Saccharomyces cerevisiae S288C: one gene and its partner. The gene in region 1 interacts genetically with each later gene. Each region holds a gene or a part of one and is shown on either strand. Other genes may lie near its edges.

The links.
Region 2: of MET30 (region 1) and SKP1, extra expression of one rescues a mutant of the other (dosage rescue), as found in Saccharomyces cerevisiae (3 studies listed by BioGRID).

What each region holds. Positions count from the first base shown.
Region 1 is NC_001141.2:266,671-271,126, reverse strand, and holds MET30 (ubiquitin-binding SDF ubiquitin ligase complex subunit MET30), read right to left. Parts: upstream 2,477-4,456; coding exon 554-2,476; downstream 1-553. Other genes in the region: YIL046W-A (uncharacterized protein), read right to left, coding at 2,654-2,818; SYG1 (Syg1p), read left to right, coding at 3,304-4,456. UniProt on the Saccharomyces cerevisiae protein: Substrate-recognition component of the SCF(Met30) complex, an E3 ubiquitin ligase complex that mediates the ubiquitination and subsequent proteasomal degradation of target proteins. Negatively regulates sulfur amino acids biosynthesis genes expression.
Region 2 is NC_001136.10:1,124,866-1,127,558, reverse strand, and holds SKP1 (SCF ubiquitin ligase subunit SKP1), read left to right. Parts: upstream 1-1,540; coding exon 1,541-2,125; downstream 2,126-2,693. Other genes in the region: PEX3 (Pex3p), read left to right, coding at 1-1,289; YSP2 (Ysp2p), read left to right, coding at 2,634-2,693.

The DNA of each region.
Region 1 (4,456 bases):
ATCTTTTTTTATTTATTATTAAGCTATTACCAAAGCTGGCGCCTCAACTGTTGGGTTCTTGTCTATTTTATGTATATTCTATATTTCAAGGATTACGGAATCGATAAGTATTCTATTATGTAATCGCCTTTATATACAATGGCCGTGCGCGTTTATATAATAAAGTACCTTCGCCCTTTGGATTTATTAGTACTGTTGAGGGAACAATATTGCAGATTATGGATCTTGTACGACATTTTATGCGTACGCCCTCTTCATCATCGCCGTCAATATAATAAGCTTTATCTTCAGTCCCCCCCTTGACATCCCCCTTAGCGTGGGAAGGGCTCCGTGGGGGAGTAATAGCATCTAATGGTCAAGAGTTTTATCGAGACGAAAAAGAGGAAGGAAAAAAACTGAAGATGGAAAAGGCTAGTGATACGCTAGCGATTTATTTTTTTCCTGGAAATAAAATAAATGTAAAATGCTATTATGTATTTTTCATTATATATGTAAGCATATATATTCGAGGTACTACGGATGTTTTTGACCAAGAAAAGACCACACACAGGTCCTAATCATTGAGATCGAATTTGTACATTTTTACGCACCCAAATTCATCACCACTAAAGCATTCTGAATCTCCAATACAAACACAAGCGATAGGGGCGACTTTATCACCCAAGGATTGTGTTTGTGTGTGCTGAGTTTCTCTTTGTAGTCTTCGACCGTTGAACGTGTGCATACACTTCCCGCTTTGCAAGTCCCAGACCTTAATGCTTCCGTCGTGAGAACCACTTATAATTCTGAAGTTGTCAGCGGCGATGTCCCAAACACCTTCCACGTGCCCAAACTGTGTTCTTATGCATTTACCGGTTTTGACGTCCCATAGTTTGATTGTGTTATCCAGTCCGCAAGATAGTAGATGTGTTGGATAAGGTATGTTTTCATCTAAGACAGTTTCTTGCTCGTTCGACGGTGTGTCTGATTCGTCTGCACCATCAGTCATTGTTGGGTCATCCTGCGGAGAGCTGCCATCAGAAGTGTTGTCGGTGGCTAGATTCTCTACATCCTTAATGGTAAGCGGTATGATCTTTTGCACCTGCCCTACATGACCCCTGAACACTTTTAGGCATGAATTGGTCCTGATATCCCACATTCGGATTGTGGTATCGTCACTGCAACTAAAACATGAAAAGCTTTTCGGATGCAATTTGACGCAATTAACCCATTCCGTGTGGCCTCTCAAGGTGTAGCATGTCCTGGACTCCACGTGCCATACCTTGACCGTCTTGTCAGCACTGCCGGAAACGATAACCTTCTGGTATGAATCTACGCTCAGAACGCTATCCGAGTGGCCTCGATACGTGGAAATGCATTCACCGGTTATGTAGTTCCAAACACGGATCGTCTTGTCGAGCGAGCCCGTAATCAGCTTTCTATCGTCAAAATATAATGTCTTGACGCCGTCCGAATGGCCGCTGAGCCTTCGTATTAGCTTCCCCGTGAATAAGTCCCATATACCTATGGTGGAGTCGTACGAGCCTGTGAACAAAAGCCTGTAGTTAAACTGGAGCGTTAACACACCATCCATGTGGCCCTTGAATTCCTGAATCCTGCAGTGGCCCTTTCTCCAGTTTGACTCCACTTTGAACCGTTCTCTGTAGATGACTTTCCAAGGTCGCGTAGTTTGCGTCTGGATATCTGCGTTGCTGCTAGATCCTGTACTATTCTGTTGTATCCGCGCACGTTTCATGTGCAAAAGAGGCAGCCCCCAGCCACAGTTGGGACATTTCCTGTCTATGTGCTGCTCGCACATGTGGTACCATACCCTGTCGTCATCCGCGAGCTTCTGCCACTTGCGGCACACTCTCGTGGCGTTGCAAAGAGATTGGCAATCCAGATAACTCAAGATCTTCAGCGACAGCTCCTGCGGCAGAATGCTGATGAAGTCGATCTTGATCATGTGTGTAACGAGTGACGAAATGTAGGAAAGCTGTGGGAAGCAACTCGTCGATAGGATCCCATCCAGAATCAGCTTCCGTATCTTGTCATTGGAATTGCTGTACTTCGAGATAATGTGGTGGATGTCGGATTGCTCCTGCAGGGGTAGCTTCGCGATATTAGCATTAATCTCTTGCGTTCGTTTCAAATCCTGCTTGTAGCACGCTGTATGAGTTGGTGAGAACTGAATGTCCGGGTTATGCCGATAGCAGAACTTGGTGAAGTTATATTCTGGCAATGGCTGTACCCTAGTGCCGCTGTCGTTTGTCGCCAAATCGGGTGATGACGATGGCGACCTCGTCGCCATCGTCATCTTCTTCTTACCCGATGATCCTTGTGCCAAATCATCGCTACTGCCCGTAATAAGCAATCTCTTTAATGGTGGCATCATCGCCGTATCTGTCATTTCACTGCTGTTATTACTATTACTATTGTCAAGGTCGTCCTTGTCCTTGTCCTCGAAACTCATCATCCTTTGCCTCTCTCTCCTCATGCCCTTCTCCTTTATAAATCACCAAACACACACCCCTTTACCGATACTCAAGCCTCTTCTCTAAACTTCTTTAACTGCAGTCTTCTCTTACGATACAGACTGCAAGGTTGCTTTCTTCTTACGCTGATGAAAAAAAATAAAATATCTCCGCGCAAACTGTGGCTTCCCGATCACGTGCTACAACCTCATTTCTACATTAAAACACACACATTGTACCACACACGCCAACACACATATACACGCACAATCACTCCCACACATATACAAACACACGACATATGAATATATATAGTACACGCGCCAATCCATTAGTTTTTTTTTTGGGATACAGACGCACATCATGGCTTCTTGCCCGTTTAGTGCAATACAATAGCCTTGTGTTGCCGTGCCACACCCTGCAGTTATCTCTCCCAGATCTGTCTTTCCATCCCCTTAGTTGCTATCGCTGCAGCCATTTGTTCAAAATCGTTATCACCATCATTCATCATCACTTATCATTATCATGCACATGCTGCCAGCCGCTGCGGCTGGCTATGTGTTGGTAGTCATCGAGTCGGAAGCCCATCATCGGTGTGGGTGTGAGGCATTTCTAGAACGGATTTTGGGTGCCGTTTGTCACGTGGGACGGGATGCGGTTTTATTTGACGCAAGTTCCATGAACATCATCGCACGGTTTCGCAACAGTTTGGGACTGTACATGTACAAGATGGGTTTTCTCCTTTGCTTTTTTGTTTTGTTTTGTTTGATTTGATGGTTGGTAGTTATTTTTTTTTTTTTTTTAATTCAGTTGGCAGCAATGGAAGGGCTTTACCATAGCACCGTATCAGATGAAGTTTGCTGACCATCTAACCGAGTCTGCCATCCCGGAATGGAGGGACAAATATATTGATTATAAGGTCGGCAAGAAGAAGCTTCGCCGCTACAAGGAGAAGCTGGATGCCGAAGAAGAGCAATCCAGCTCCTACCGGAGCTGGATGCCCTCTGTGTCGGTATACCAGACTGCATTTCAGCAGAGAGAGCCCGGCAAAAGTCGCAGCGACGGAGACTATCGCTCCGGACCTGCGTTCAAGAAGGACTATTCTGCTTTGCAGAGGGAGTTCGTTGCTGACTTCATTGAAGACTGGTTGATCTCGTTCCAGTTGAGTAAGTGTAACGAGTTTTACCTTTGGTTGCTAAAGGAGTGCGACAAGAAGTTTGAGGTTTTACAGTCGCAACTGCACTATTACTCGCTGCAGAAGAATTATGAGCGCGACAACTTGAACCGGTCTAGTTCGAATGTTGACATGTCCACGAGTCTATATGCGGCAGGGCTTGCTGGTCGTTCTGACTCCAGGGTCAATAGCATCGACAGCGATAGCCGGTCTGTTATGTATGGGTCAATGCCCTGCACCAAAGAGGCCAAGAAGCCGCGTTTGTCGCTGCTAGCGTACTGTCAGAAAGTTCTTAAGGACAATAGGCTGCTGCCATCGTGGCCCAAACGTGGATTTTCTCTGCTACAGGACTTGAGACAGGATGCGTCCTCAAGAGGCCGCGAGACGTTTGCTTTTGGCGCTTCTTTTCTGGAGACTATGACGACAACCCAGGCTAGAAACTTGTTAAGCAACGCTATAATCGAGTACTATCTGTACTTGCAATTGGTCAAATCGTTCCGGGATATCAACGTCACCGGGTTCCGTAAAATGGTCAAGAAATTCGACAAAACGTGTCACACAAGAGAGCTGACCACGTTCATGTCGTACGCCAGGACCCACTACACCCTTTTCAAGCACGCGGATGCCAACGTGCAGTTGGTGGCACAGAAGATGCAACAAATAACCAGTTCGCAACCAACACCCACTTCGGAGCTCTCTTCCGCCCAAAGAGACAAAGAGCCCATCACTTGGTTGGAAACGCAGATCACCGAGTGGTTCACCACTGCGTTGACCAATTCGCCTAAGGACAGGAAGCACAATACCCATAAGTTGAAGAAATTGACCATTC
Region 2 (2,693 bases), on another chromosome or scaffold:
GACATCGAGGAAAGGTACTCATTTCATTGACTGGAATAGCTGCTTTATTTACCACAGGGTCGGTGGTAGTGTTTTTCGTGAAGAGATGGTTGTATAAACAGCAGTTACGGATTACTGAGCAACACTTCATCAAAGAACAGATCAAAAGAAGGTTCGAGCAGACACAGGAAGACTCGTTGTACACAATATACGAGCTACTTCCTGTATGGAGAATGGTTTTGAATGAAAACGATTTGAATTTGGACAGCATCGTTACCCAATTAAAGGACCAAAAGAACCAGTTGACTAGAGCAAAGTCTAGTGAAAGCAGAGAAAGTTCGCCGTTAAAAAGTAAAGCTGAGTTGTGGAACGAGTTAGAACTAAAGAGTTTGATCAAGCTGGTGACAGTGACGTACACAGTATCGTCGCTGATTCTTTTAACAAGACTGCAACTAAATATCCTGACAAGAAACGAGTACCTGGACTCCGCAATAAAATTAACCATGCAGCAGGAAAACTGCAACAAACTACAGAATAGGTTCTATAACTGGGTTACATCGTGGTGGAGCGATCCGGAGGACAAAGCGGATGATGCAATGGTAATGGCAGCAAAAAAGTCAAAGAAAGAAGGCCAGGAAGTGTATATTAATGAGCAAGCTTTCCTATCACTATCATGGTGGATTCTTAACAAGGGGTGGTTGAGTTACAATGAAATAATTACAAATCAAATCGAAATTGAATTTGACGGCATACACCCAAGAGATACTCTAACGTTAGAAGAATTTAGTTCTCGTCTCACGAACATATTCCGGAACACGAATTCCCAAATATTCCAGCAAAATAATAATAACCTCACGTCTATTTTGCTTCCTAAAGATTCCAGTGGACAGGAGTTTCTTCTGTCACAGACGCTTGACGCGGATGCTTTAACAAGTTTTCACTCTAACACACTAGTTTTTAATCAATTGGTGAATGAACTGACCCAATGTATCGAAAGCACAGCAACATCCATAGTGTTAGAGTCTCTAATAAATGAATCATTCCATTTCATAATGAACAAGGTCGGCATAAAGACAATAGCCAAGAAAAAACCTGGCCAAGAAGATCAGCAACAGTATCAAATGGCAGTTTTCGCTATGTCGATGAAAGACTGTTGCCAAGAAATGCTTCAAACAACTGCCGGGTCTTCCCATAGCGGCAGCGTGAACGAATACCTGGCCACTCTGGATTCTGTGCAGCCGCTCGATGATCTGAGCGCCAGCGTATACAGCAACTTTGGCGTCTCCAGCTCGTTTTCCTTCAAGCCTTAATCTCTGAATAAGTACTGACACTCACACCAGAATATATATATATATAGCGTAATCTTTAATACAGTAAGTGTGCAATAGGTAACATGACATTACCCTGCAGCGATTTAACGGGCGTCTTGGAGAAAAGAAGAGAAAGGGAAGAAATAGGTTGATATATTGAGGGCAGAGAAAGTGATAGCCCAACGTTGGCAAAGATATAACAGAAAAGACGTTATAAACAATACAGGAATACTAACAAACGTAGCGCAGATATGGTGACTTCTAATGTTGTCCTAGTGAGTGGTGAGGGTGAACGATTCACCGTAGACAAGAAAATCGCGGAGAGATCCCTGCTATTGAAAAACTATCTGAACGATATGCATGACAGCAACCTACAAAACAACTCAGATTCAGAATCAGATTCAGACTCGGAAACGAACCACAAAAGCAAAGACAACAATAACGGTGACGACGACGATGAGGATGACGACGAGATTGTGATGCCCGTGCCCAATGTTCGGTCTTCCGTTTTGCAGAAGGTTATCGAATGGGCCGAGCACCACAGAGACTCTAACTTCCCTGACGAAGATGACGACGATTCCAGAAAGAGTGCTCCCGTGGACTCATGGGACAGAGAATTCCTGAAAGTGGACCAAGAGATGCTATACGAAATTATTCTGGCGGCAAACTACCTCAACATCAAGCCCTTGCTTGACGCTGGCTGCAAGGTGGTTGCTGAAATGATCAGGGGAAGGTCTCCCGAGGAAATTAGAAGAACGTTTAATATCGTCAACGACTTCACTCCAGAGGAGGAGGCTGCCATTAGGCGTGAAAATGAATGGGCTGAAGACCGTTAGCCTACATTTCCTCTGATGACTGTGATCCTTTCTTCCGATGATAATGCGCCATTTCAGAGCAAGATAGGCAAAAATAAGCAAACAAGGCTTGCTGTCATGCAATGTGTACGTTAGTCCACCATAACCAAGCATGTATGAATTATATATGTATACAGTTTACATAAACTTCAAACTACAATAAGATGTGTGGTCCATCGTCGTGTGTAGCGATAGGCGTCTTCTAAAAGCCGCAAAAGTGACAAGAAGAAAAAAGGAAAATTATTGAGTTATAAAAGCTATTGTTTACATGATGAGACGGGATAAATTTAGGACAGATAGCTGTAAACACTCCGTTTTGAATCATATTTGTGAAATATTTGGTCTAAATTTTAAGTCAAGTTTATTTTCTTCGAGCATTTCAACACCAGCTTAACCCTTTGCTTTAAATTATTCATCTAAAATAGGGTATATTGATTGCTAATCACATATAAATATATAGAAGCAGCAGCTGTACAGATATCCCTAACCAATGAGGGATGAAGCTACTCGCAAAAAAAGGTCATTTAGTGATGGTCATTTTTTCAAGAAA